Linked DNA regions of Alligator mississippiensis. The main gene of each other region encodes a partner of the protein of the gene in region 2 in a complex. Links are inferred from orthologs where the notes say so. Each region holds a gene or a part of one and is shown on either strand. Other genes may lie near its edges.

The links.
Region 1: CBLL1 (region 2) and WTAP share a complex: the UniProt entries of both Homo sapiens proteins name them as parts of the WMM complex. The link is inferred for Alligator mississippiensis from reciprocal best matches to the Homo sapiens genes CBLL1 and WTAP.
Region 3: CBLL1 (region 2) and METTL3 share a complex: the UniProt entries of both Homo sapiens proteins name them as parts of the WMM complex. The link is inferred for Alligator mississippiensis from reciprocal best matches to the Homo sapiens genes CBLL1 and METTL3.
Region 4: CBLL1 (region 2) and RBM15B share a complex: the UniProt entries of both Homo sapiens proteins name them as parts of the WMM complex. The link is inferred for Alligator mississippiensis from reciprocal best matches to the Homo sapiens genes CBLL1 and RBM15B.

What each region holds. Positions count from the first base shown.
Region 1 is NC_081824.1:137,733,727-137,740,757, reverse strand, and holds the start of WTAP (pre-mRNA-splicing regulator WTAP), read left to right. Parts: upstream 1-4,024; 5' UTR 4,025-4,063; coding exon 4,064-4,073; intron 4,074-7,031. UniProt on the Homo sapiens protein: Associated component of the WMM complex, a complex that mediates N6-methyladenosine (m6A) methylation of RNAs, a modification that plays a role in the efficiency of mRNA splicing and RNA processing.
Region 2 is NC_081827.1:28,120,681-28,128,299, forward strand, and holds the start of CBLL1 (E3 ubiquitin-protein ligase Hakai), read left to right. Parts: upstream 1-4,604; 5' UTR 4,605-5,591; coding exon 5,592-5,613; intron 5,614-5,927; coding exon 5,928-6,095; intron 6,096-6,490; coding exon 6,491-6,591; intron 6,592-6,893; coding exon 6,894-6,977; intron 6,978-7,619. UniProt on the Homo sapiens protein: E3 ubiquitin-protein ligase that mediates ubiquitination of several tyrosine-phosphorylated Src substrates, including CDH1, CTTN and DOK1. Targets CDH1 for endocytosis and degradation.
Region 3 is NC_081830.1:3,897,538-3,905,057, reverse strand, and holds the start of METTL3 (N6-adenosine-methyltransferase catalytic subunit), read left to right. Parts: upstream 1-4,508; 5' UTR 4,509-4,589; coding exon 4,590-4,683; intron 4,684-4,870; coding exon 4,871-5,082; intron 5,083-5,409; coding exon 5,410-5,799; intron 5,800-6,279; coding exon 6,280-6,455; intron 6,456-6,716; coding exon 6,717-6,933; intron 6,934-7,048; coding exon 7,049-7,236; intron 7,237-7,331; coding exon 7,332-7,370; intron 7,371-7,448; coding exon 7,449-7,520. Other genes in the region: SALL2 (sal-like protein 2), read left to right, coding at 1-1,674, 1,782-2,168. UniProt on the Homo sapiens protein: The METTL3-METTL14 heterodimer forms a N6-methyltransferase complex that methylates adenosine residues at the N(6) position of some RNAs and regulates various processes such as the circadian clock, differentiation of embryonic and hematopoietic stem cells, cortical neurogenesis, response to DNA damage, differentiation of T-cells and primary miRNA processing.
Region 4 is NC_081835.1:46,186,579-46,193,743, forward strand, and holds the start of RBM15B (putative RNA-binding protein 15B), read left to right. Parts: upstream 1-4,148; 5' UTR 4,149-4,222; coding exon 4,223-6,976; 3' UTR 6,977-7,165. Other genes in the region: MANF (mesencephalic astrocyte-derived neurotrophic factor), read left to right, coding at 3,017-3,201. UniProt on the Homo sapiens protein: RNA-binding protein that acts as a key regulator of N6-methyladenosine (m6A) methylation of RNAs, thereby regulating different processes, such as alternative splicing of mRNAs and X chromosome inactivation mediated by Xist RNA.

The DNA.
Region 1 (7,031 bases), on a different chromosome or scaffold from region 2:
CACTGCATGGGCTTTCCCAACTGCTTGGAGACCATGGGCAGCAACCACATCTCCATCTTGTGCTTGGGTCAGGCCACCCAGACGTTCACCAACCACAAGGGCTACTTCTCCATTGTCCGGCAAGGTGTCATTGACCACTGAGGCCATTTCACTCACATCTTCACCAGCTGGGCAGGCAGCACCCACAATTTCCAGGTCCTTTGCCACTCCCCGCACCTTGGACTGATACAAAGCAGGCACTACACTCCTGGGGCCCCTGGACTCATCATCGTTAACATAATTGTCCCACTGCTTCTCATCAGGGACCCTGCCTACCCCCTCCAGCCCTGACTGACAAAGCTCTATGGGGGGCAACTGGACTGCTGGAAGAAGCGCTTCAACTATTGCCTGAGCAGGTGCTGCATGATGATGGAGAGCACCTTCAGCCACCTCAAGGTATGCCAGTGGACTTTCAGCATGTGCCTTGAGGTGGACTAGGGAAACCTGATGCAACTCATCATTGCCACTAGTGTCCTTCACAACATCTGCAAGACCAGGGGGAGGTTTTCTGTGAGGCCTGAGCTGAGGAGGCACAGCGTGTGGAGTGGATCTGGCAGTGTAGGTACACGCAGCACAGGGATGGAGGAGATGGCAAGCCCCCTGCTGATGTTGTGGGCCCCGGCTCTGCACAGTAGCAGGCTGTCCAGATCTGCAAAGCTTTGGCTGACTACTTCCTCACCCTTGTGGACCAGGAGCCCTTCCCACATAAGTAGGGCCAGTGCCTGTGCCCTGGCACCATGGCATGGGTCTCTTGCCCTAGGCTCCTCAGCCCTGCATCCTGGGCAGTGTTGGCCACAATGGTACCTGGACACTGTTTCATTTCCCCTCCTCCTCCCCAATTTTCCCTCCCCACATTAGGCACACACCAGGGTACGGGGGAATGTGGCACCAGGAAGAAACTTGCCACCAAATTTTTCATGTGTTTAATAAAGAAAACCTGCTGAATGTTGCCCATGGCAGAACTCATTCCCTTTTCCCAATTCATACAAACCAGCAAACCTTCGGAGGGGGCAGTGGGCAGGAGAACCTGGCTGGAAGGGGCAGTTAGGACGGGGTGGGCGGGAGATGTCAGGGGGAATACCACAGGGGCTGAACTCAAACACAAAACCTTGGAGTGGAAGCATGGGGTATGGTGGCTTTTGACCTAGCATCCTGCTTTCAAGGTTCAGAAGTGAAGACCAAGGACTTTTCCAATGTTGCAGCTGGACAGGTGTGTGATCCCAGACCCACTGTCTGTCTGAGAGAGTTGCAAGTCAGGAAGCAGCTGTTGCTTGGGGGGTGGGGGCTTTGTGATGGGTGGCTTCACCACAGTGGACTTTTAGCTCTTCAACATGGGCTCCCTGGCCCCAGGACCCAGTCTCTCCCTTTGAGGAGTCCAGATGGCCCCTGAGTACACTTGAGGCTCCTGTATTGCAGCCGACCTGACCCCTGGGACTGCCTATCTCCACCAACGCTGCACTGATCCCCTACAACAGGACTTAGGCCAAGAGTGGAGCCACGGACAACAGAAGAGTTCCCCCCAGACTCCATGGCTGGCATCAGGACCAGCCCACCATTTTTGGGGCCCCCTGCAAGAAATAGTCTTGGGGCCCCCTGCCCCGAAGAAGCCAGCAGTGGTGGTAGTGGCAGCGGCAGGCGGGAGTGGCGTACAGCCAGATGTGAAGGCAGTGGCAGCAAGCAGCCAGATGCAGGGGCATAGGCAGAGGAAGAAAACAAAATTTGAAGGGGGTGAGTCTGCACAAGTGCATGCGCGCGCACACGCCCCCCCATGGAAAAGTCTGAAGGGGGAGGGGAAAGGGCCAAGAAGGGAAGCAGCATTGCCCAGCACTGCACCGCCCCGGCCAGCTCCCAGCCCCAGCCCTGGTCCCAGCTTCCTCCCAGCCCTGGCCACGCCAGCCCCAGATGCCACACTAACCATGGCTGCCTCCTGGCACTGGCCGCACCGGCCCCAGCCCTGGCAGCATCCTGACCACACTGGCCCAGGCCATTGCACCAGCACTAGCCGTGCTAGCTTCGGCTGTCTCCCAACCCCGGCACCTGACCCGGATGCACCAGCCCTGGCTGCGCACTGGCTGCGGGGGGTGCCCAGAGCCAGGTCCCGAAGCAGGGCCAGCCTCAGCTGCCTGCCGGGCTGGAGGGGATGGAGCGGCACCCACCACATTTGAAGCGGTGGCAGCAAGGCACGGAGACATGGAGCAGAGGCTGAGCCCAGCTCGCAGCTGTGGCCTACCCTCACCCATGCAAAGATCAGGGGGCCATGTGCCCTCCCCCACCCCTTGGCTGCCCAGTGCCGCACCTCTGGAGGAGCCTCTGGGCTCTGATTGAACCACGAATGGGCTAGGCCGGGGCCCCAGTCACAGTGAATGGGGGCTGGGCTGGGTCGTGGAACAATCCCCACAGTAAGGAGGGAGCAGGCCAGGGGTAGTGGTGAATGATTCGCCCTTCCCCTACGTGACTCTCTCCTGCACTTTGGGGGTCTCAATCTGCCCTCCTCCAAGCCCAATGCCTGTGTTGGGCCAGCTGTGATCCTGGCGGCGAGTGTGCACGGTAGCTCAGCGTGCCCACCACTGTAGGAACCTAAGGCCATGCCTGCGGCAGGGGAGCAGCAGCGGTGGTGGCCAATCTCAGGGGAGGCACCCCCTACAGCGGCCAATCGGAGGCAGGGGTGTGAAATCAGAAACTGGAAGTGCTTCCTGCGCCACTGCCACCCCTTCCAGTTTCGTGGCCTGTCGGCACCCCCCACAGCCCTGCACCTGGGGACCCTCCCCCCCGTATCGGTACGTCACTGCCATGCTTCCCTATCTGGGGAGACATTTCAGCCCCGCATCCCTGATGAACTGGGTCTACACTCCCAATATTCCCCTGGTGAGAGTCAGCCAGGCCCTGAGGGATTAGCTTTTCTGGTTCTCCTGGGGGAACTCCAGGCAATACACTGTGCTCCTGCAACATGGTCCCCTGGGAGTATCTCAACAGCTGGAGAGGGGTCATCTGCTGTGATGGCACACTGGGGAACTCTGGGTTGCCATTCAACATTGGATAGAGCTGACACCCCCTCTGGAAGACTTTGCTATTGCTGCTGCTATTGACTTACTGCTCAGCCTGTGACCTGACCCAGAGAGAATTTCCCCAGACCCCAGCTGCATAAGAAGAGCCCTGCCATGGGCTGCCCCTGGCTTTACAACGCTGCTCCTCTACTGAGAATATTCCAGGAGGCAGCTGGAAGGAGAGAGAGAGGGAGTTAGGAAAGACTAGGAGCTTTTTTTGCTAGGGTGAACTGTTTTCATTCCTGCTGTACCACAACTGCACCCTGACCTTGGGGTGCTCTCTGCCAACTCAGCCTGTGGCAATGGCAACTGGAGCAGGGCAGCATATACCTGCAGTTGTAACTGTTTTTTACACTTTGCCTTGGGAGCTCAATAAACGCTTTCAGTGCCTTCCCTTCCGTGCTTGGGAGGAGAGAGAGGTGGTTCCACACAACTGCTCTGGATAGCTGCAATGAGACTCACTTCTTCCAGGAGATCAGCTTGGCCTTAAAAGATAGGGGGGAGAGGGGGATGTCAATAAGGCAGATTTATGTTCTCATTGAATGCCAGGGACTCCCTGTTATTACTGAGAAGGAGCTAGCAGTGAAAAGAACCCCAGGGGGACCAGGCTTCTTGCTAAGAGTAGCAGAACAAGCTACCTGAGCACCTTAGGCTGAGACAGTGCCTACTGTGGAGGTAGTGGCATTGAAATAGTTCAATTGGGCAGAGACTGCTTAGTACAGTGGTCTGCCCAGTGCAAAACTAGCTGCAGCACAGTAACGCCAGAGAGTAGAGCATTAGCTTCTATCCCAACAGCTGAAAGCACCTCTGAAGACCAGCCAGTTAGCCTAAAGAGAAGCACCTGTGGTGGCTGGGTGGTCACAAGACCAGGAGAGCAGAGCCTCAACTACATATAAACTCAGGGTTTGGACCTAGGGGGTTATCTTGCAGACAACCAGGGAAGGAGATCTGTATTACAATGGCTAAGGCACTGTAGTAGCATGCATGCTGGTAAGGAACTGAGAGTTGACTATGAGAGGGGGGGGATTTTCTTATGTAGCTAGAGAGCTTGATTTGATTTATGGCCTGAGGCCTGACTTTTTCCTATTGTTATAATCCAAGGACTGGGATTGGGACTGGCAGGAGGGGTGGAGGTGCCAAAGGGGTATATGAAATTTACAAGCCCTCTTGAGGGCTGGGCTCAGAACATGGGTGAGGAAGGCTGCAGTCTAAAGATGAGGGCACAGACCAAGGCCCTGAAGAACATAGCTGGGGCCCTAAAGGGGCATTATCAGGGCCCTAAGGGCAAAGCTAGAACCCTTGAAGAGGGAGCCCAGGAAGGATGAGAGAAGAGCCTTGAGGGGTGAGTGCTACACCCTTTAGAAAGGAAGCTGGACCTGGGAAGGGGCAGACCCAAATCCTAGGAGGTGAGACCAGAAACTAGATGAGATACTGGCCTGGGGTTGAGGGATCTTCTCCCAGGATGATGAACTGTTAACATGCGCAAGGTATGGGCCTAGCTAGAGTGTAGTCAGAGCCCTAAGGTGCTAACTTACAAAGCTGTTATGAGAACAAAGAGCCAGACCAGTGATTCCTTGGGATTTGAGGCAGCCTCCCAACTCTTTGAGGGGGGGGGGGAAAAGTTGTACCAAAAAAATGGCAGGTGAGGAAAAGGGAGAGACTCTAAACCCGGAGGTGAAAACTGAGAGATTACCAGAGCCTGGGCATTCACCTAGGCCTATAGGCAACATGTAGGGGTGCACATGTTTTTCCCCCCCCCCCTGATTTGTGGCTGCTGCTGGCTTCTGTGGGTGGTTACCATCCACACCTGTCCCCCACTTGCTGCTGATGTGGCCAGTGGTAGTTGTGGGCAGTCCTTGCTAGCTGCCACTGACTGACTGCAGGTGGTCCCCTCTTGCCTCTATGGTACCCTCCCCCTGGTCTCAGGAGGCACCAGTCATTCATGCCTGGGCCACCAGAGATCCTGCTGTGTCTCACTACAATGGGACGTGGGCTGATAAGTGGCCAAGGGAACTAGGTGCCTCAACTGCCTTTCAGGATGGTGGGGTGGGAGTTACTGCTCTGAGTGCTGAAGGATAGAAGCCTTTTGAGCACTTAGAGGCCTGGTGCCCTGCACTGTGAACAGTCAGGGTGGGATGACTCCTCCCTCCCACCCCAGCCCCTTTCTGGCCTTGGCCAAAACCTCCATGAAAGGGGGCTATGACCACAGTAATGGCTTATAGGCTGCAATTCCCCCTGCCCTTCTTTCTCCCAGGGGCTCCCCAGTTTCCCCCAGGGCATTGGTTCCCATCATGGCTGTAATCAAACCATACTGTCCTGGGCTGCCTCCCTTGAGGCCCAAGTCATCGGGGGGGGGGGGGGGGGGCGTGCTGACATGGCCCATGCAGGTCATGTGGCAGCTGTGCTGGGGGTGGGGGGGACACAACTGGGCACTCTGTGCTGTGGCCATCTGTTTGGCTACAGCTGTAGAGCACTTCCTGCATGTGTAACCTGTGATAAACTTAATGTTTGTACCTAGCCTAAGATATTCCTTCAGCCAACTTCTCTTTGGCATGAGAGAGCCTTAAAATAGTGAACTCGAATCTGGGCTCTTATTAATTCTGTGTTCTCTTTGTGATAGCTTTCGCTGTGTAATTCCTTGCTGGCCAGTAATTGTAATGACAAGGGTATTGTGTCTCCACCTCCCCTATGGGAGACTGTCAAACTCCCCCCTCTTTTAGTGATGGTTTTTTTTTTTTTTTTTTTTAAACAAAAAAAGTAAAACAAAAAAATAAACCCTCTAGCCTGTCTCCTCCTGTTTTCTTCCACAGCTTCATTGTCTGAAGGCTCCAGGTAGGCATTCTAGGCTTATCCCTACACCCCTTTCTGTTGGAAGCTTCCCCGGCTGATGGGCTGCTTTTTTTTTTTTTTTTTTCCCTTCTTGCTTTCTCAGCTGTTCATGGTCTACTTAAGCTAAGACAATTACCTTCCTGTCTTGCAGTGTCTTCCTGAGTCTCATTTCTTAAAATCCTACTCTCTGGGGTCATGTTACTGCATTAAAACTAGTCCATTTACTACTGCTGTAGTGGAGAGAGCCTAGACACATGAACAACATACAATTCAAGGACCCCAAATTCAGGATCCAAAATAGAATTTAAAACTTGTACTTAATTTCTTGATTCTAAAACAAAACCTGTTGTTGTGGGCCAGACTCGTGTGGTCAAAATTCATGATGGTTGATGGCGCCATATCAATCTTAACTGGGCCCAGCTATTCTTATTTGTAAATTCGTCCAAGGTACATAGCCACACTTCCTAAAACACTAGTTTCCAGCCATATGATTCAACCGTAGCAAAGGTGTGCTCAGAGCCCAATAGCTCCCCTCTTGGCTGCTCAGTGAATCCAACCATCCCCTTCAAGTACTTTTATTTATAATGACATTTCTAGCTTTGTCAGATCTGGCAGCCAGTAGGTGCTGTATGAAACTGAACACCAGGCACAAAAAAGGGGTAGTACCAGCTGAACTGAGGAACCAGAAAGAAGAGGAGATTAGGTGAGAACAGGAGAATAATAGTAACAGAACCTTTAAGATGCATTTTAAAATGTCAATAAAAGAATGATTTTTATGCCTAGAAAGTATTTTAACATGTTTTGTTTTTATAATTGATCTCCATGTTGAAACATTAAAAGCAAAACAAAGCTAAGCAAGAAAGAAGTGTTCATGCTCAAGCTCCTTAGCAGTAGGATAATTGGATTAATGTGCAGGTCCAGCATTCATAGAACCTATAACAGGCTGAGGAGATTAAAAGCAGTACTCAGACTGTCAATAACCATAGTCCACAGAACTGGACTGACCTTGGAAGCTAAGTAAGTTTGTGTTTGGCTAGTAATTTTCTGGGACCCACCTTGGAATAGTGGGTGCTGCATACTTCCTGATTCTTTAGGGCCACAATGTGATTTATTCAGTAC
Region 2 (7,619 bases):
AGCAAGATTGGCCATGGGGGGACTGGACCTATTTTTTTTTAAGTGCTATTTTAACTGGGATATACAAAAACTAGGACTCTTGGTTCCAAAATGATACCTTTTATTAGACCAACTGGAAAATGGCAAGAAAATTGTCCTTTCCTGCAAGCTTTTGGGATTAAAGTCCCTTCGTTGGTCTCTGGGAAAAGTGTAGATGGTACAAGATGGTCAAAAGTCCCCATAGGCAGGAAATAAACTTCATTTTTGCACAGGGGGAACTGAAGATGGAAGTCTGTCCCTCTGGGTCCATGACAGTGTCTGTGAGCTGTGTTAAGTAGCTCTTTGATGTGTTGATCAGGTAGAATCCCTTCCCTGGAGATGTCAGATGGCAGGCAGGGAGGCAAAAAAACTTCCTTGTTGTTCTGTAACGAAGTTTAAAATCCAAAATCGGCTAAAATTCGGGATTTTAACTGGGATTCATTCAGGTTTTGTTTTTTGTCTTTTTAAATTTTGTGTCTCTGGTCAAATCAGTCAAATTAGTTCTGAATTTCATCTGATGAGCAGGGCCGAGTCATTCAGGCCCATATAGCATTACCACTGGCAAGTATTTTCCCTCCAGGGCTCTTCAGCCTAGGGTTTCAGACACTCCCAAATGCATGGCAGGCTTCCTAACGCAGGCCCCAAACCCAGAGGTCTGGGGGTTCGGATGCCTCTGAGTCTTACTTGCCAACAGGCCAAAGAAGCAATAGTGCAGCGTTTCTCAACCTGTCGGTCTCAACCCAAAAGGTGGGGTCGCAAGAATAGATGTAAAGGTTACGAACAAACTTCAGAAATGGTTCAACACACTTTAGAAATGGATTCTCCTTTAAAGGTGAAAAACATGACAGTGTGGCTTTTCCCATGCAAGCTGGCAGAGTTCCCCTCACCCCGCACACAGGGGCCGCGGGTCGGCAGCGAGGGGCACTGGCCATCCATGCTTACAAATGGGTCCTGGGACAAACAAAGTTGGGAACCGCTGCTAGGGCAGACCGTGGTAGGGGGCCTGTCTGCAGTGCATCGGGCCCGTCTCCACCTGCCCTACGCGACGCCATTCAAGGGGATCTGACCTCCCCGGGAAACCACCTCCTGGTCCTTCCCCTGCCCGGTAGGATGAATTCAGGGCAAAGGACGCAGGGGGTGGCATGGACGCCCCCCGGCTACACCCCCGTTAGCCTGGCTCCGACGGCCTGGTAGGCCGCGGCCAGGCTGGAGCTCTCCGCAGCAACCACGGGCGCTGTCAGACACACGCTACTTGTGCAGAGGACCGGCTGCGGAGCCAGGCGCCGCCTACGACCACCTCAACATGGGGGGAGGAACTACAGCTCCCGGCATGCACCGGGGCCAAGGCGAGGCTTGCGGGGACCTGCCGCTCCCGGCATGCACCAGGCCCGCTCCGGCGCCAGGGCAAAGCACGTTTCCCAGCATGCCGCGCGGCGTGCCGTTCCGCCCTGCCCGCTCGGGTGCGCAGTGTTCTGGTTGCCATGGTGACCACTCCGCCGCATCGCGCGCCACGGCCCCCCCCCAGCTGTCCCGCGGGCACGTCCCACCCCCTTGTTCAGCGAGTTTCCGGTTTCTCCCTTCAGTCGTTTCCGGCTCCTCCCTTCTGGCGCGGGGCACTTCCGCTCCCACAGTGCCCCGCGCCGAATCATGGACCACAATGGTGAGGAGGGGCGAGGGAGGGAGAGAGGCCTGTGTGGGTCTGGCCCGGCCCGGCCGCCTCGGCGCTCGCGGGCGCTGCCGCTGGCTGCGGCGGGGCTCCGGGGGCGGCGGCCGGGCCGCGCTCTGAGGCCTGGGCCCCACGGGCTGAGCCCGCGCCGAGCGGAGCCGAGGGCCGCGGCCTCCCCAAGCCCGAACTGGCGCCGGCCCCGCCCCCGCTTCCTTCCCCTCGCTGACGCCCCGGGACGGGGAGGGCTCCGGGTGTGGCCGCCGGCGGCCCGTGCTTTAGCCCCGGGGGCCGGGGGTTGCTGCCGTCGACCTCGCTCGTTGCGGTCCCTTGTGACAGCGGCCGCGCTCGGGCCCGCCCTAAGGGGCCGGATCGAGGTGCCCGCGCTGGGCCGCACCCGTTCAGCCTCGGCGTTCAGCGGGTCCCTGGAGGGTCTCGGTGCTGACCCCAGGGCGGTGGGCTTGAAACCCCTTACCCAGCTGCTTGGCCTTTAGGCAGCTGCGGTGCCAGACTCTTGCATCTGACCCCACTCCTATGGCGTAGTGAGCCGCGATCCCTGGAAAAAGTCCTGTCCTGAGCATTGTCTAGAGGCTCTCTTGCTCCGCTTGCAGCTTGCTGTGCAGGGGCTTGAGCCTGGGTTTCAGCCCAGAAATACGAACCTGTTCTTAACTTTGTTGCCGGCCTCCAGACCTGACCTGGCTGCGTTTGTAGTCACTCCTGTGCAAAGAGAGCTTGAGCCTGGGGAATGGCCTGGAGTGGAAAGGCCACAGATCCCAGAGGTCAGGGTGCCCAGGGACAGGTGTGGGGAAGGGGCTGAATCCAAACTCACAGTGCGGGATTAAGTGTGTGCTATTAGTGCATGCTGACTGGTGCCCCTTTAAAATGTGTCAGGTCATAACCAAAAACTTAAATTAAAAAAACTAGTGAAGTCATGTAAGAGCATTCTCATTTTTCGGTGGACCCTTGTAGGTTATTAGCTGGGTTAGAAGGATGATAGGAAGTTAGAAACTTCCTTGAGTCGCATTATTTCCTGCTGTAACTCCATTGGCTTCTCGAGTCTGTAGACCTAAACCAGATGAACAGGCCAGTAGAGTTTAGTTGATTTTTAAAAAGCTCTTTGTTCATCTATCCCACTTTTAGGAACAGCTCTGATAGTCTCTTCTGGGCTAGTTTTTACTCTACACCTGCAAATGTTTCATTTCCTAATAGAGGTAGTTAGCTTTGTTAATCTGAAGTCATTCAGAAGGCGAGGTAGATGTGTACCTTTATAGACTAACGAAATAAGATGTATACAGACTACAAGATTTCACTGCATCATTTCCTAATGATACTCTTAACAGGAAGTTTCCTAATATTCAGCCTACCTTTTTTCACCTGTAGTGCTAGTTTGTACAGTTAGTGTACATGGAGTGAACTGGTATATAAATAGCCTGAGGAGCTACCTTGTTCAGAAAAGTTTTCTCCAAAGATCTTGTGCCCAAAAAGTACAGAAGAGAATGTACTTTTTATATCTAAAATACTTTCTGTACCAGAAGAGCTTTCAGAAAGCTTACAGTGCAAGTCCATTGTTTTGTATTGTGTTGTATGCCAAGAGAGCCTGTTAAATGCTTCAGATATATTTTTTCCTCTTGGCTTAGCCATCTTACCCATGCTAGTAGATCCTTCATTCATACTTCGTTCACTGTCAGTACCAAAGCAGCCCCCTAATTACCTTCAGTTCCCGTGAAGGTTTTAGAATAGAACATAGCCTTCGTTTAGGTGTCTGCACTGGCAGTGGTGTGGACTGGAGGAACTGAAAGGTGTTTGCTTTATGACTTTTTTTGCTCTGCATGTGCAGGCACAACTGTTCTGCTGAGAATTTTAGTTTTTTGGCCCTTCATGTACTGCCTCAAAATTGTTCTCCCTGTCGACTTCACTGGAATTGCTGTGCTGCTGACTGCTAACAGATGTTAATGAGCAGCAACACAGTTTTTGTAACAAGAGGCATGGTTTCCTAAAGTCAAGAACACCCTTAACCTTACAAGTATTGGCTCTGTGATGCTCCAGTCCTCTGGTCCCTAAAAGAGAGATCCATGAGTTAAAATACACTTTGACTGAGGAACTGGTTTAATTAGTGGAAAACCTATTCCCTCCCCCTCCTCAAAAATTCCAATAAAACTAGAAACAATTTTTAATAGAAGGTAAGAAGTACACTCACGTTGTAATGGTGGCATTCAGAGCACTGTGTGAAATGGGTACACTTGACCACCCGGCAAAACGGGCAAGTGCTGAGTCTGAGACGACACTGGTTTGAGAGTCAGAGAAATTTACCATATTTTCTCGATTATAAGACAAGGTTCCCCCCCATTCAATATGGGAAAAATTAAGCCTTGTCTTATGATTGCATACGACTTATCTGAAATCAGAAAATGCACTGGGGATGTCAATGTTAGTGAGGAGGCCACATGGCCAGACACCTAGTATGTGGTCAGTCATCAGAGGGCACCTGGGCACCCCTCAGCATACAGGGTTTCTGGCTGGCCAGTGCAGTCACTCCAAGCTGCCTGCCAGCATGTGCCGCATTGCTTTGGCACCCTCTGGCTGGAAACCACACACACAGCTCAAAATAATGCAGCAGGTGCAGGCCATGCCCTGTGCCCACAGTGCAGGGTTTCTGGCCAGCGCATACTGAGTTGCTCTGAGATGCTGCTCAAGTAGTGGGTGCTGGAGCAACCTGGCACATGCTGGCAGCCTAGCGCCAGGTCCCTTTCTGTGAGCTGGGTTGTCCCAGCACTTGCTGCTTGAGCAGCAGCGCAGAGCAACTCAGCATGTGCTGGCCAGAAATCCCATGCTGTGTGGACAGTGCCTGGCTGGCGCCTTTAGGTCACTTTGAGATGCATGTGCAGTTTCCCGTCAGAGGGTGCCGAAGCAAATTGGCACTCGTTGGCAGGCAGCAGCTTGGAATGACCCTGCACTGGCTGGTCAGAACCCTGCACACAGCTCAAAATAACCTGGCAGGTGCCAACTGGGCACCATCCCTGCAGCATCAATTCTGGATAGATTACTGGACAATGCATGGGTACTATATGCAAATTGATATACCCATGTTTATTTTCAAGGTTATTGTTTTCAGATTTGTTCCTCACTTCCATGTGTGCAGGGAGAGCAGGGTCTGACAGTAAGGAGAAAGGGAAGGGTCTGCTAGAGAAAAAATGGTGGGGGAAGCAGAGAGCAAAGGGCTACCTGGTCCCACAAATTTGGTTTACATGCTGTAGCAGTGAGAGGGGGACAAATTCGAGGCAAGCCTCCAATAATTTGATTCTATATCTGGAAAATGATAACACATTTTTATATTTTCCATATATAGAATGTAATTATGGGGGTCATCTTATCATTAGGGTCATCTTCTATTTGAGTACATACAGTTGTTCTGTTCCTGGCTTTGCACCTGAACTGCTAAATGATCTTCAGCCATCACTTTGCCTTTACACACCTGTTTCCTTCTAACCCTTATGTAATTTGTTCAGTTTGTAAGCATGAGGCTTACAATGGACTTGTCCCTAATCTTAGCTAAGCTGTCTAAGCACTACTGTATTATTAATAATACAACTTGTATGATCTTTTAATCTGATGGTTTGTCACTTATATGTGAAATGGGCCAGAAGGGGTCACTGTTAAATGAAATAAAAGCAACAGTTCCAGCCTCTTCTGGCCAGTTCAAATGATGATGAACCCAAAATGTATTACATAGCTGCAGGAAAAAGGGTATTGGGTTGTAGGGGCCTCTTTAAAAAGAGTTTGTTTTTACCTTATAATTTAAACTATGGTCTGGGCTTGTAGATGAAATGGAAAAACTAGGTGAGAGGTGTTAGGGCTTCTTCATATCAAGATAAGAGTTTGGAAACTTTTTTTATACAACTTGTCCACTGTGATGATTACAATGACCCAGCATGGTAAGAGAACATAATTTAAAATATTATGGTTTTGTAGAGGTTTTATAGTATAGTGAGCCAATATTACCATTAGGCACTACACAGACGCACAAAAAAGGCCTTGCCTTGAAGAGCTGATGGATTGATTTATTCCAGAATAGATTGATTTTTTTTCCTTCTAATGAGTAGTGTCTGGTACAATAAATGAATCTTAAATTAGCTTTAATAAAACCAGAGTTATACTTCTAATTTGTCTAGATTGCTACTTAACTTTTTAGAAACTAATATGCAAAATAACCAGGAAATTACAATAAACATATTTTCTTCTTGTATAGACAATGATTTGCAAGGAACTAATAGTTCTGGATCATTGGGTGGTCTTGATGTTCGCAGACGAATCCCTATAAAGCTTATCTCCAAGCAAACCAACAAAATCAAACCTGCACCTCGAACTCCAAGAAATATGAACAGGATGCCGTCAAAGACACAAGCTGGTGATGATGGTAAACTAAATAAATTAGTGCTGTGAGAGGAGAGGGAATTCATTTATTTTTTGTTTTGCAGTAGTGGTCAGATGCCCCATTCAGTAGCGGAGCCCTCATATGTTAGGTGCTGTGCGAACACATAAGAACATGTGACTGAGACATCCACATATTGTGTTATAAGCAGTAAATGGCCCCTGCCTCCAAAGAACAAGGAGTACTCTTTTTATTCTGTTTCTGTTCCTCTTTTTGCAGAAAGTATCTAAGCATAAAATTAGATTTAGGCCCAGCTGACACTGAAATGCCATAGTATTTCTGATTGTTGTTTAAAATGCTCATCATTCTATACTAAAATCAGTCTGAGTCATTTAGAAAGGTAATAGTTTGTGTTGAAGTATGGTCTCATTTTTCCCCAGAAGAATTTGATTATAATGAAGAGGAACGATACGAATGCAAAGGAGGTGAAATGTTTGGGAATCAACGAAGATTCCCTGGACCCATCTTTTGGGACTTCAAGGTACAATCTTGGATGCAGTGGTTTGGATGATAATATAAATTAAATTGCTCTCTAAACTTTTAAATACATGGGGAGCAAGTTCATCTTTAAAGTGTAGAAATGAAATGAGATGCATCCTGCTTACCCTTTCAGAAACCAAATGAAAAATAAGCACTTCTCTTACTCTTAGCATTGCTGTAAAGGTATTTTGTCCTTTTTCTCAGATTGTGCACAGGTCCATGTTTCTTAAGAAATATTTAAGAGCTTGCAAGCATATTGGTAATATTGAAAATAAGCCATCATAATATTGCTGTTCCTTACAGATTAACTTGCTGGGAGAAAAGGATGATACCCCAGTCCATTTTTGTGACAAATGTGGATTGCCTATTAAAATGTATGGGCGCATGGTGAGTAGAGCTACTTGTGGAAAAGGTAAAATTTGAAGCAGTTTTAGAAGTAGTTCTCAGTGGCTTACTGGCAAAATTGTAGGTAGCTAGTGGCTGTGTAACATCATTTATGATGGCTACTTAATATTTGTAAGAAAACATAGGAGTCATTGATTTCAAGTCAGATTATTGTGAAAGAAGGTCTGCATCTCAGAGCAGAAGCAAGTAGACGTACCACTATAGGGCCAATTGATTTTAGGGGAGCTGTGCAGAACCAGTACGAGGTATCTCTGTGCATCTCAGTTCAGACTCAGCCACTTAATTTGTACAAGAATGCCAAACTATTCATGTTCCACATATTTTGTGCTGTTACCTTGTTGAATCAAGGAACAAAATGGCAGATATGGTGAAAGGATGGCAGATGCAATGTTTGATTTGTTCCCATTGTAATTAGTTGAAAAATACTTTTTAATGTGAAAGAATGTGTAAGAGGGCTATAATATATATTTAACATTAAAGTGACCCTTTTCAGGTAGAGTACTGTATATTAATGGGAGACTTCAGCTGAGTTAGTAAATTCTATATAGTAATCGGTTTTGTTTCTCTTAAAATAGCAATCAAACCTAATGCTTAGGATGAATTTAGAATATTGCCTATAATTGG
Region 3 (7,520 bases), on a different chromosome or scaffold from region 2:
GCGTCCTCGCCAGGGCTGCTGCGGCCCAAGAACGGGGCCGGGGCGGTGGAGCCGGGGCCCGACGATAAAGCGGGCGGGCGGCACAAGTGCCGCTTCTGCGCCAAGGTGTTTGGGAGCGACAGCGCCCTGCAGATCCACCTGCGGTCGCACACGGGCGAGCGGCCCTACAAGTGCAACGTCTGTGGCAACCGCTTCACCACCCGTGGCAACCTGAAGGTGCACTTCCACCGGCACCGCGAGAAGTACCCCCACGTCCAGATGAACCCCCACCCCGTGCCCGAGCACCTCGACTACGTCCTCACCGGCACCGGGCTGCCCTATGGCATGTCCGTGCCCCCCGAGAAGGCCGAACCGGGCGAGGAGCCCCCGACCCCGGCCCCTGAGCCCCGCAAGGGCCTCAGTGCCACCGAGAGCCTCACGCTGCTCTCCGGGGCGGCCACCCCCACCGCCTCGCAGGCCCTGCCCGTCTTCAACAAGCTGGTGCTGCTGAAGGCGGCCGAGGGCCGGGCCAAGGGGGACGAGAACACCCCTCCGGGCCGGGAGGCCGAGGCTGCCCGCCTGCCCCTGGGCAAGCTGCCCGGCTGGGCTCTGCTGGCTGGCCACTTCAAGGCGGGCAGCACCGGCTTCCCCTTCCCCTGTCTGCTGGAGCCGCTGGGCACCTCGCCCTCCGAGACCTCCAAGCTGCAGCAGCTGGTGGAGAAGATCGATCGCCAGGCACCCCCGACGCCCGGGGTGGGCGGCACCGCGGCGGCGGCCCCCTCGCCCCCAGCCCCTTCATCCTCCTCCTCCTTGATGGCCGGCACCTCCCCTGGCGGCGCGGCTGCCCCCAACCAGTGTGTCATCTGCCTGCGGGTGCTGAGCTGCCCCCGGGCCCTGCGGCTGCACTACGGGCAGCACGGTGGGGAGCGCCCCTATCGCTGCAAGGTATGCGGCCGCGCCTTCTCCACCCGCGGCAACCTGCGGGCACACTGCGTCGGCCACAAGGCCAGCCCAGCCGCCCGCGCCCACAACTCCTGCCCCATCTGCCAGAAGAAGTTCACCAACGCCGTCACCCTGCAGCAGCACGTCCGCATGCACCTCGGCGGGCAGATCCCCAACGGCGCCCTGCTCCCCGAGCCCCCCGCCACCCTCGCAGGGGAGGGACCGCGCCCAGCCCCTGCCCAGCCCGCTGCCGAGGGGCCTGCCCTGCCCCGGGATGAGGAGGAGCTGTCAGAGGAGGAAGATGAAGACGAGGAGGAGGACGACGAGGAGGAAGGCACTGACGAGGACTCGCTGGACAGCGGCGCCGAGAAGCCCCCGGGCGGCTCTGAGGGGGTGTCAAGCCCTGAACGGGAGGTGCTGCCAGCTCCTGCCAAGGAGGAGGAGGAGGATGCTGGGAAGGCGGCAGGGGCAGGGGCAGGGGAGGGCAGTGCCCAGCCTAGCTCCCCTCCCCCGCCCAGGGAGGGATCGCCTCTGCCCCCCACGGGGGACCCCGTCCCCCCGAAGGCTGAGAGGGGAGGAGGAGGGGAAGCAGCAGGAGGCGCCGAGGAGGAGAAGGAGGCTGCAGGGGCTGGCGTGGAGGAGCCACGCGCCGGCCGGGTCCAGGAGGGGGCAGTCGTGGCCTGTGGGGTCTGCAAAGAAGCCTTTCCTGACGGGGCCGCACTACGCAAGCATGTCCTAGCTGCCCACCACCAGGTAAGGGCACCTGGGGCTGTTCCCACCCCAGCTATTCCCCCTCCCCTCAGGCCCCTCCGTTTGCTGTGGGCACTAACGGGTTACTCCCCCCCGCGGTGCCATGGCAGGTGCCTCTGGCATGGGGCTGTGGCCCGGCACGGCGCGGCCGGCGCCCTACCCTGGAGGGCCCGGTGCCGGTGCTGGCAGGGGGCACGGCCAAGCTGCAGGACTTCCTCTCGCGAGATGTGCCGGCCCAGTTGGTGGGCGTGGGGCCCCTGTCCTTCTGGAACCAGTATACCGCCTTCGTCTCCGCCGGTGGGCTGGCCTCCAAGCCAGCCCGAGCACCTGCCCTCGCTGCTGCGGCCCCGGCCCTCTATGGGCCCAGCCCGGGCCCCGCGCCCACCCGGCCAGCCCCTGCCGAGGCCAAGGAGAAGCCCGTTGCTAGTACACTACTGCTGGGACCCCCGGCCCCCAGCGAGCCGGCCCCAGATGGCCAAGGGAAGGCGGAGAAGTAGCCGGCTCAGGAGATAACCCCTAGTAGCCCACTCGGCAGGTAAGGTCCCCTGCCCCTATGGTAGGCAGGGATGGGGCAGGGCCCCTGTTCACACTGCTCCCAGTCTCTGGGACTGTCCCCATCCCTGTTTAGCCATGTTCTGGGAGGGGCTTGGTGGGGTCAGAGGTCACTCGCTAAGATGCTTTAGGGGGCAAAAGTTGCTCAAGGGCAGGGGGGTCAGGAGTCAGTGGCATGGAGATGGGGTCAGATGTGGCTCCTGGGTGGGTAGAGATAGAGGTCATTCAGTGGCTTGGGGCCAGGGCTGAGAGGGTGCATGGGTGGGGGGCCGATGGTGGACGGGGTGGGGGCCGCTCAAGCAGGGCAGGGGTCGGTGCAGAGGTCACATGGGGAGAGGTCAGCATGTGCTTGGCAGGAGATGGCTGTAGGTAGAGGCCACTGGGCAGAGGTGGCTCATGGAGTAGGGCTGAAGGTCAGTCTGTAGGACAAGGGTCAAGCAGTAAGGTGGAGCCAAATCAGAGGTCACAGGGATGTGGGTTCAGGGCTCGCGCGCCCTGGGCCAGCATCCCTCACCAGGGAAGGGGTTAGGAGGGTGCAGGGGCCCGACCTGGCCTTTCCCCCTGCTGCCCCCCTAACCCTGCCTCCCCCTCTCCTCTCTCCGTCTCAGGGGGACGCTGCAGGAGGCCACGAGCTCTGCCGGGGACACCGGCCCTCGCCTCCTCCGCCCACCACGACATTAGCGGCAGTTTAGTCTTCTACTCTAACCGTAGCACGGAGGGACGGGGCAGGAGGCGAGACCCCCTGCGCCGGGGCGGCTCCACCCCTGCCCCCTGTAGCAGAGCGCCCCCTAGTGTAGAGCAGCATCCCGGCCACGCCAGCGGGGAGGAGCCCGGGACTGTGCTGGCCTCGACATTAAAGCAGTTTGACAAATCCCCCGTGGCCGGCTGTGACTCTCGCTGGGGATGGGGACGGGGACGGGGCGGGGGGACGAGGTGGAGGCATGCCACGTGAAGGCGGTATAGGGGTGCACGCACTCCTACACGCCGCCCCCGAGCCTGTGGCTCCGGCCCCTGCTCTGCTCCCCTCTCACACTGTTTGCCTGACATACCCAGGCTTAAGCAGCTCAAGAGCCTCCCTGGGAGGCCTCCATGGAGGGGGAGTGCCTGTGCTAATCCCCACACAGCCCTTCCTCACTCCTTCTCTGGACCCCTGCGCTGTTGCCCCGAGCAGGAAGCAGAGGTGGAGGAGGGAGCAGGGTCATTGCACCCTGAGGTGGGGGAAACTGAGGCCCAGAGCAGTGCCTCCAAAGCTGCTTGTGGGGGAAGGACCCAGGCAGCCAGGGTGTGCCACTCTGTGTAGGGCTGGGCTGCTCCCCAGAAGTGGCTGCATCTTGGGATGGTGGGGGGGTGCTTGGGGGCACCAGAGGCTGGAGATTTCATGAGGCTGGAACAGGCCTCGTGCTGCCAGTACCCAAAATGGCCTCTTCAGCTTCCAGTGAGCTGCTGCCAGTAGCCATGATGGTTGCCATGCCCTCACACCGCCAGCATCCAACAAGGTTGCCCACAACCAATATGGCGGATTTATTACCACCACCATTTCCGGCCACGTGGTGGTACGAAAACGAATGGAGGCGGGCGGAAGGTGATAGGGCTCGTGGCGGGATCGCGGCAACTGGGACCGGAAATGGTCACAGACCTCTGGAGACGATGCCCAGTGCCAGTAGACAACATGAGGGCAAGAGCTTCCTCATGCCAGTACCAACATGGCTGCTTCCAGCGTCCCTCCCCCCACGTGACGCGAGCCCTGTTTTTTTTCTTTTTTAAATGACTGTGGGCAGTCGCTCTCCGGCCGTCCATTGGACAGCGGAGAAGGGCGGCCTCTGGTGCCAGTAACCAACATGGCTACCCCCAGAGTGGTAACAAGTATGGCCGCCCGGAAGAGGCGAGGCCTCTGGTGCCAGTCACTAAAATAGTGGAGGCGGAGGACGAGAGTGCGTGCGCACCGATGAACCCAATTGCTAATACGGCCGCCCGGCTTGCCCATACGAAATATGACTGACGCCCATGATAAAAATGGCCACGGGGGAGCCGCTCTGTAAATAACCACAGGCAGCCGTCACGTAGACACCAAACGTGCCCACTTCCAAGATGGCTGCCAACAGGCGCACATACCCGTAATCAAAATGGCCGCCGCAAGAGCTAAAACCGGAAATGTTTCCAGGGGGGACAGGTTTTTCGTGACCTCAGCTCTGAGTTGACTCCGCGGCCATTTTGGTTATGGGCATGTGTGTGTCAGGGGTCCATTTTGGAACTGGGCATATCCGCTCACCCGCCGTGCGCCTTTGAATTCCGCCCCCCGCGGCACTTCCGGTTGCCGGTGTGCTGCGGTGTTTGGGGCCCGGGCGGTGCCTGGAGCTGCCGGGACCATGTCGGACACATGGAGCTCCATCCAGGCCCACAAGAAGCAGCTGGACTCGCTGCGGGAGCGGCTGCAGCGGCGGCGGAAGCAGGACCCGTTGGGTGCGACGGTCAAGGAAGGGGCAGCGCTGGGGAGGGGGCGAGGTCAAAGGTCACGGGGAGGACTGGAGTCAGAGAGGTGGGGGGTGGCTAGGGTCATAGGAGGGAGGGGGGTCAGAGGTCACAGCGACTTCTGGGGGTCCTGGAGGGGTGCAAGGGCAGAGGTTGCTGACCCCCTGCTGCCCCCCAGACCCGCGCAACCCGGAGCTGGCGCTGACGCCGCCCTTCCGCAGCGACAGCCCCGTGCTCGCCACCGCGCCCGCACCCAGCGCCGCCGCCGGCACCCGCGACCGCGACCTGGCCACCGACCCCGAGCTGGAGAAGAAGCTGCTGCACCACCTGGCCGACCTGGGGCTGGCTCTGCCCACCGACGCCGTCGCCATCTGCCTGGCCATCTCCACGGTGCGCTCGGCTGCCCGCTCGCCTTCCCCCCCCGCGGCACTGGGGTTTCCTCCCCCGCCACCATTAACCCCCCTGCCTGGAGTTGGGATGAGAGTCCTGGTTCCCCTGCTGTGATCACCCCCCTGGGGTCAAACGCAGGCAAGCCTGGCGTCCCCACTACATTCACAATGTGGATCCTCTTGTCTCCCTGTGGTTTGGTGCCTTCAGACACCCCTTCGTCACTCCCTGGCTGGGTGCAGCCCTGTCCCAACGTGGGGCTGATCCGAACCCCCTCACCCCCCTGCCGGCGTACGCAGTAACCTTGCCTCCCCTGCCCCCTCCCTCCAGCCAGAGGCCCCGGCCACGCCGCGCAGCGTGGAGAGCCTGCTGCAGAAGTTTGCCGCGCAGGAGCTGATTGAGGTGCGCCGGGGGCTGCTGCAGGACGACGAGGAGCAGCCCACGCTGGTCACCTACGCGGACCACTCCAAGCTCTCGGCCATGATAGGTGCCGTGGCCGAGCGCCGGGGCCCTGCTGAGGCCGGGGCCGCCAAGCGCCGCGCGGACCAGGAGGGCGGGGGCGCTGTCTCCTCCCCGGCCGGTGCCACCCCCAGTGCCACAACCAGCGCAGAGCCTGCCAAGGAGCCAGCCAAGAAATCCCGGAAGCAGGCGTCAGACCTGGACCTGGAGATCGAGAGCCTGCTCAGCCAGCAGTCCACCAAGGAGCAGCAGAGCAAGAAGGTGCAGGCCTCTGGCTGGGGAGGAGGGATGGGGCAGGAGGTGCTGGACGCCTCAATTCAGCTTCTAGAAGGGCAGTAAGGGCTAGTGAGTTAGAGGGGAAACTGCGAACCAGGACGCCTGGGTTGTATCCCAGCTCTGGGTGAGGAGTGTGGTCTGCGGGGGGGTAGGGCCTGGCACCAGCACACCTGGGTTTCGTCCCAGCTGGAGGCAGAGCAAGGGTTTTGTAGGTTAAAGAAGGAAGTGCGGGACAGACAAGACTCCTGAGGTCTTTTCTCAGTTCAGAGTCTGGGGGAAGGCAATAGTGGATTACAGCAGAGGATCTGGAAACCAGGACACCTGGGTTCTGCCTTGGCTTTGGCGTGGGAGTGGGGCAATTAGAGCAGGGAGCTGGCAGCCAGGACTCCTGGGTTCTTTTCTTGGCTCTGGAGGGAGGAACCCCCAATATCCAGGGCCCAGCTGACCCTTCCCCGCTGACCCCAGGTGAGCCAGGAAATCCTGGAGCTGCTGAACACCACCACGGCCAAGGAGCAGTCGATTGTAGAGAAGTTCCGGTCGCGCGGCCGGGCCCAGGTGCAGGAGTTCTGCGACTACGGCACCAAGGAGGAGTGCGTGAAAGCCACGGGCGCCGAGCGGCCCTGTCGCAAGCTGCACTTCCGGTGAGAGACGTGTGCACACGCGTGTACCTGTGCGCACTCATGCACACACACCCCCTCCATCATGTCCGTTCCTTGCCACGGCTCTGCGGAGAGCAGGGGCAGGGGTTGAGAGCTGGGAGCTCAGCTTCCAAAGTGGGAGTGTCTGGGCACCCAGATTCCTGGGTCCAGTCCTTACCCACAGTACCCAGTGGGGTTGCACAAGGGGTAGGACAGGGGCCAGGACGTCTGGGTCCCGTGCCCACCCACCACCCTGGTCCGCAGGCGCATCATCAACAAGCACACGGACGAGTCGCTGGGCGACTGCTCCTTCCTCAACACCTGCTTCCACATGGACACCTGCAAGTACGTGCACTACGAGATCGACGCCTGCGCTGACCCTGGTGCCCCTGGCACCCGCGACCACAACCCCGGCCAGGAGCTGGCCCTGCCGCAAGCTGTGGGTGGCGACGCCAGCGCTGACCGTCTCTTCCCACCCCAGGTGCCCACTGCCTGAGGGGATGCTTGTTGGCAGGGGCCTGTAAAACTGGGCAGGGGAAGCTTGGGGTGGGAGGCAGAGCACAGGAGTCTGCCCTCACATCTCTCTCCCGGCCCAGTGGATCTGCTGCGACATCCGATACCTGGACGTGAGCATCCTGGGGAAGTTTGCAGTAGTGATGGCTGACCCGCCCTGGGACATCCACATGGAGTTGCCCTATGGGACGCTAACTGACGATGAAATGCGGCGCCTCAACATCCCCGTGCTACAGGACGAGGGCTTCCTCTTCCTCTGGGTCACTGGGAGGTACTGAGGGTCTGGGAGGGGCTGACCTGGCTCAGAGGGGTCATGGGTGTCTCTGATGCAGGTCAAGGGTCTCACTGGGGCTGTCTCCCTCACAGGGCCATGGAGTTAGGGCGCGAGTGCCTCAACCTCTGGGGGTGAGTGTGTACAAGTGAATGTGCCCCCACATGTCCCCCCTCACACCCTTCCCAGCTGACCTCTACCCCCCGCCCCAGGTATGAGCGGGTAGACGAGATCATCTGGGTGAAAACCAACCAGCTGCAGCGGATTATCCGCACAGGGCGTAC
Region 4 (7,165 bases), on a different chromosome or scaffold from region 2:
TATAGCCAAGATCTTGCCACTGGAAGTTAAAGTGGGAGGCTAACTATGCATTACCCTAGTCAGGGTACTACTGCCTGCCAAGAAAGTGGTTTTCACCTACCAGCAGGAAAACCACCTTAGTGGTCATGGTATTTCCCCTGTAGAGTGGAGAAAGATTAGCAGGAATCCTGAGCCAGGAAGTCAGTTGACTTCATCAGCACTACCTGAATAGAAAGGCACCCAGTGCCCCTCCCAGGTAGTTGGTTCTAAAGTTTGGGTGGAGCAGGAATCAAATGGGAGTGCAAGTGCACTCCTCCCCTGTGCCCTTCCCTCTTGATCTGCCCCTGCTTGGGCCATAGCTTGCAGACCCTGTGTCTAGTTAACTGATCAGTGATCGTGCTTCTCTGCAGCATAGATCATCATTGATTAGCAGTGTAGCATGCATTGGCTTCTTTCCATGGTGCATATTCTCATGTAAACTAGCTTTGAATCGGCATCCTTTGAAAGCTAATGGAATTGATCTACTTGCTCTTGTGTTTCATAGATTTCATAGACATTAGGGCTGGAAGGGACCTCGGAAGATCGAGTCCAGCCCCCCGCCCAAAGGGCAGGACGTCAGCTGGGGTCATAGGATCCCAGCAAGATAAGCATCCAGTTTGCTCTTGAAGGTGTTCAATGAAGGCGCTTGAACAACCTCCGGCGGCAGGCTGTTCCAGACCTTGGGGGCTCGGACAGTAAAGAAATTCCTTATGTCCAGCCTGAAACGATCTTGTAGTAGTTTGTGACCATTCGTCCTCGTCATCCCTTGGGGCGCTCTGGTGAACAAACGTTCCCCTAGATCCTGGTGATCACCCCGATAAACTTGTAGGTGGCCATCAGATCACCCCTGAGCCTGCGCTTTTCCAGGCTAAAAAGCCCCAGGGCTCTCAGCCTGTCATCGTAGGGTCTGCTTCCCTGACCTCTGATCATGCGCGTGGCTCTTCTCTGGACTCTCTCAAGCTTCTCCACATCCTTTTTGAATTGTGGAGCCCAAAACTGGACGCAGTACTCCAGCTGCGGCCTCACTAAGGCCGAGTACAGGGGGAGAATGACGTCCCGGGATTTGCTTGAGAAGCATCTATGGATGCAAGCCAGCGTTTTGGTCACTTTACTAGCTGCAGCATCGCATTGCAGGCTCATGTTCATCTTGTGGTCAATGATGACCCCCAAGTCTCTTTCTTCCATAGTGCTAACCAGCATAGCACTGCCGAGCCTATAAGGATGCTGTGGGTTTTTTTTCCCCAAGGTGGAGAACCTTGCATTTGTCGGCGTTGAACACCATCAGATTCTCATCCGCCCACTTGCTGAGCCTGTCCAGGTCAGCCTGGATCACCCACCTGTCTTCTGGCGTGGATGCTTTGCCCCAAAGTTTGGTGTCATCGGCGAACTTGGCCAGTCCGCTTCTGACTCCAGTGTCCACATCATTAATGAAGATGTTGAACAGTATGGGTCCAAGGACAGAGCCCTGGGGGACCCCAGTGGTCACAGGACACCACGAGGTCTGCCATCAGGATTGCTGGCAGAACTTGGTTTTCTGTTTGTGCTCTCACCAATGTTTGTTCTGTTGCCTCAGCCCATCATGCTGACATTTCTGATTGCAATTGGAAATGGGCTGCTATGGCAGAAACTAACCCAGTTCTCAATTTCTGCATGTATTGTTTATTATTACAGTTATTCCAAAGCCTTAGTCTATAGTTGGAATCATTAGTTCATAAACTAGTATTGGGCAAGGGGTTTTTGAAGGAGCAGCATGTGTCATTGTGGACTATATTGATTTGTATTAAGTAGGCCTGAGGCTATTGGTGGCAAGGCTCCTCATTGCCAAGGTGCATCAGAAGAGCTTAGAAGATACTAATTTTATTTTAAGCAATTCTTGTTCAGTGGAAGACTGACTTTAATTTTTACCCCACTGAAACTGCTTGCATTGGTCAAAGATGCTCAAACATTGTGATTCTTCTTTTTACATTTGAACCACTTAAGTTTCCATGACTACCATCTCCAATTTTGCTGATTACTCCCTTCAGGTTACCTTTTTATCTTGGGGGACAAGCCAGGAGAAAAGATAACATCTACTCTTATCCTCGCATCTATTTCTGATTTTTTTTCAAATCAACCTCTTCCTCTTGTTCTTTCTCCTCCAGTGTGCTAGTGCTTTGTAAGCTTTATGGTATGCTTTGCGTATCTTTAGTCTTAAGACTGTATCTTCCCCAGAGAAGGCAGGGGACAATTCTGTTATCTTTACTGTCATAAAGTTTACTGCTCTGAAGTTAGCCTGGGTTTAAGAATTCAAAGGTGTCACTAAACCACACCCCTTTCTGTAGCACAAAAGCCCTTGTCCTTTCCCTCCTTCCCTATTGCCAGAACTCATTCCATGCCCTTTGTAGCTTATGTGGACTCCTCTAACTCTTCTCTGGTCTTACTTTTTTTAATCTGTCCAGTTTTTAACACCTGAAGTGTGCTTCCTCTCATTACTTTGCCCATCTTGTTCTTTCCCCTCCATAATCTTAACTGATTCCGTTTTTTTGTACCTACCATTCAGCTTTCTTATCACCTGTATCTCTGCTTTTCTGTCAGCACTTCACCTTCAATTTTTTTGTCCTGCCCTCTTATATTATGTCTGTTCACAATTGTTATAGTTCCTCTGTCCAACAGCTGTGTGCGTGTCCTGGTTATTTGAGCTCTTGAGCACAGTTCCTATTTGCATTTTCTCCCTTCCTGCCCTGCCTCATTCTTATTAAATTGCAACATAATGCCCCTGATAGCTTTCTTTTAAGCCTCATTCTGCCTTCCCTTTTATATTCTTTTTCATTATAATGTAGATTGGGGCAGAAACTTTCAAAGCACAAGTCCTTCCTTAGCAAAAGATATAAGGAAGGGTAGGCAGCTACTGAAGGGACCAAGCCCGTAGTCTTTTCTGATAGAGAAGTTGTCGCAACCCCTTCTAAGCTGTATTTTTTTTTCTTTACTTTGAGTTACTGATGTTCCTTTCTTTCTGTAGACAAACAGATTGACCTGAGCACTGTGGACCTGAAGAAACTGAGAGTGAAAGAGCTGAAGAAGATCCTAGATGACTGGGGTGAAACATGCAAGGGCTGCGCAGAGAAATCAGACTATATACGTAAAATCAATGAACTAATGCCTAAATATGCACCAAAGGCAGCCAGTTCACGGACGGATCTCTGACCACTGTGGCAGTCTCCATCCTGCTAGAACCTCACACAGATTACATTAACCTCTCTATTTTGTTTCTTAAGCCTTTTTTGTAACTTATTTAAGTGGGCTCCCAACAGTGTCAGACTTGGAAGTGTGGAGCCATGTGTGAAATGCTGGTTTCACAGCCCCCATTTTGTCTCTAGTTTGTATTTCTCTCGCCTCTGGTTTGCTTTATGGCATCACACTATGTATGGGATTTTTTTATTAAAGTAAAAAGAAATCTACTCTTTCTGGGCCTTGTGAGAGGGTTGAGCTTAGTTCTGTGGAGGTCCCTGCATCTCTTGTCTCCAAACTGCACAGTCAGCCGTGCAAGCCGCTTCCTCTGGTTGCTGTCCTGGGCAGAGGTCGTGCTGCAGTTGTTTCCTTGCGCGACTCCTGGCCCTCCTCGTCTCTGCCGCTCCCCCTGTCCAGCTCTCCTGCTGCAGCTGCCTCGTGCCACTGTCCTGAGGCCTTTGCCAGGAGGTGCCTGAGGCAGCATGGGGCAAGTGGCCCGAACTTCGCAGCTGTGTCCTTTAAAACACTGGCCTGTGGCTGGAAGGGCCCTGATCCGTGGTCTCGCGGGCCGCCTTCCCCAGCGCTCAGGTGACAGCTGCTCGGTCTCGCTCCCCTCGCCGCTGCCCCGCACGTGAGGCCGGAGCGACCCGCGTTGCACGTGTGGCGGCAGCAGGGCCCTGTCCCGGGGGGCGGCGGCGGCTGCGCTACTTGCTCAACCAAGGCGCGACCGCGCGGCTTAGGGGAGGGGGCGGGGCCAGGGCTCCCAACCCCGCCGCCCTACTGGCTGCGCCGCGTCACGTGGCGTGGCCCAGGCGCGTCTCCCTTGTCACGTGGGCCGGGCGGCGGGAGCCGGCGCGCGCCTAACGTCACCTTGCGGCGGGCGCGGGGTGATGACGTGAGGCCCGCGCGGCGCGGCGGCTGGAGCCGCCTTCGTTCCCTTTTGTCCAAGATGGCGGCGGCCGCCGGAGGCGTCTCCTGAGCCGCGGGCCCCGGCGCCATGAAGCGCGGCAGCGAGCGGGACTCGAGCCCGGCGGGGCCGGGGGGGCGCGCTGCCGCCGCCGCCGCCGCCAAGAGGCCCCGGGAGCGGGAGCGGGAGAGCAGCAGCCGGCGGGGCCCGCACCGCAGCTCGGGCGCCTCCCGCAGCAGCCGGGACAAGCCCACGCCCGGCGGCGGCGCCTCGGCCTCCGCTTCCGCTTCGGCCTCGGCCTCGGCCTCGGGCTCCGGCTCGCGCAGCCACCGCGGCGATGAGCGGGCCGGGGGAGGCGACTCCAACCACCGGCCGGCGGGCGGCGGCTCGGCCTCCAGCGCCCGCGCCAGCACCCAGGCCGCCCCCTCCTCCTCCTCGTCCTCCTCGTCCCGTGCGCTCGGGGTGCCCAAGGCCAAGGCGCTGCCCGGGGCCGTGGTGGCGCCGTCGCTGCTGCTGGCCGGGCCCCCGCCGGGGGCGGCGCCGTCGCTGCTGCTGGCCCCGCTGGGCGGCTCCTCGGCCGGGCTGGCGGGGGAGCCGCCCGGCGCCTGCGAGTACAAGACGCTGCTGGTGAGCGGGCTGAGCGCGGCGCTGCCCGATCAGCTGCTGGAGGATGGGCTCTTCCGCCTCTTCCAGCGCTTCTCTGGCGGGGGCGCCGGTGACATCAGTGTCAAGCTGTCCCACACGCCCGAGCTCGGCCGCGTCGCCTACGTCAACTTCCGGCACCCAGGAGATGCCCGCGATGCCCGCCGCCATGCCCGGGCCCGCCAGCTCCTGCTGTATGACCGCCCCCTCAAGGTGGAGCCGGTGTACCTGCGCGGCGGCCGCCGGAGCCGCACGCCGCCGCCCGCACCCTCGCCAGAGCCCCTCAGCTACCTGCCGCCCATCCATGGCACTTACCAGTACAAGCAGCGCTCGCTTTCGCCTGTTGCTAGCCCCTTGTTGAGGGAGCCGAGACCACGGCATGCCCACGCGGCTGCCGCCGCCTTCGCACTGGAGGCAGCTGCTATTGGGCTTTCCCGGGAGCGGGAGCGGGCACTGGACTATTATGGGCTGTATGATGAGCGTGGCCGGCCCTACAGTTACCCCATCGTGGCTGAGGAAGACCTGATGCCTGAGGACGACCAGAGAGCAACCCGGAACCTGTTTATTGGCAACTTAGACCACAACGTCTCGGAGGTGGAGCTGAGACGCGCTTTTGAAAAATACGGCATTATTGAAGAAGTGGTGATCAAGCGCCCAGCCCGGGGCCAAGGTGGAGCCTACGCTTTCCTCAAGTTCCAAAATTTGGACATGGCGCATCGGGCTAAGGTGGCCATGTCTGGCCGGGTCGTTGGCAGAAACCCCATCAAAATTGGTTATGGGAAAGCCAACCCTACTACGCGGCTCTGGGTGGGGGGTCTTGGTCCAAGCACGTCCCTGGCTGCCCTAGCTAGGGAGTTTGACCGCTTTGGTAGCATCAGGACTATCGACTACGTGAAGGGGGATAGCTTTGCTTACATTCAGTATGAAAGCTTGGATGCTGCTCAGGCTGCCTGCGCGCAAATGAGGGGCTTCCCTTTGGGAGGACCAGAGAGGAGGCTTAGAGTGGATTTTGCCAAAGCTGAAGAGACAAGATACCCCCAGCAGTACCAGCCTGCACCACTCCCAGTGCACTATGAGCTGCTAGCTGATGGGTATAGCAGGCACAGAAGCCTAGAGCAAGACTTAAGGGTGCGAGATAGGACTCCTCCACATCTCCTGTACTCAGACAGAGACAGGAGTTTTGCAGAAGCAGATTGGGCCAGTCCTGCCAAAAATGCTGAACGCAGAAATAACCTGGAAAGCTACAGCAGGTCAGTGCGCAGTCGAAGTGGAGAACGATGGGGCAGCGACAGCGACCGCAACGTGCCCAAGCCGTGGGATGAGCGGCGGAAACGCCGAAGTCTTTCAAGTGACCGTGGAAGGACTACTCATTCGCCTTATGAGGACAGAGGCAGGACAAAGGCCACGAGTGGGCCAGCTTCAGATCGCAGCCCAGAGAGGGCTCGCAAAGAGAATCACACTACGGAGTCTGGAACGGAGAAAGAGCAGAGAAACTCCCTTCAGAACAATCAGCACGTGGCTGAGGAGAAACCCCATCGTGAAACTTCCGATCCTCCCCAGTCGAAAAAGAGGGACAGCGAACGCAATCATCGAACTGGCGAATCGGAATCAAAAAGTCACGAGGAGCCAAAATCTGAGACCAAAAAATTAAAGAATTTATCGGAATATGCTCAGACACTGCAGCTAGCTTGGAATGGGCTGCTTGTACTAAAGAACAGCTGCTTCCCCACGTCTATGCACATCCTGGAGGGAGACCTAGGTGTCATCAGTGGGCTCCTTAAAGACCATTCAACTGGTGGGAAGTTAACACAGCTCAAAATCGCTCAGAGACTTCGGCTTGACCAGCCCAAACTGGATGAAGTAACTCGCCGCATTAAACAAGGCAGCCCCAACGGCTATGCTGTGCTTCTGGCTACCCAAGCCACCCAAGGAGGGGCTGGGGCTGAGGGGACCCTCCCTGTTGTGGAGCCTGGCTTGCAGCGTCGGCTTCTCAGGAATCTGGTCTCCTACTTGAAACAGAAGCAGGCTGCTGGGGTGATCAGCCTGCCTGTGGGAGGGGCGAAGGGCAGAGACAGCACAGGCATGCTTTATGCTTTCCCTCCTTGTGAATTCTCTCAGCAGTACCTACAGTCAGCACTAAGGACATTGGGAAAGTTAGAAGAAGAACATATGGTGATAGTTATAGTCAAAGACACTGCCTAACCCACACTGTCTTTTCAGATTCCATGTTTTCTTTGTGTGTCACACAGCCCTGTTGTTTTTAAGGCCGATCATTTTGGTGGAGGGCCAAGAAACCTCAACCAAAATTGTAAGATCTTTAGTTTCTAATTAATTTTAATCCCATTTAAATAGAGCCCATTTTATTTGTTTTTAATAACGTGGCACTGTCTT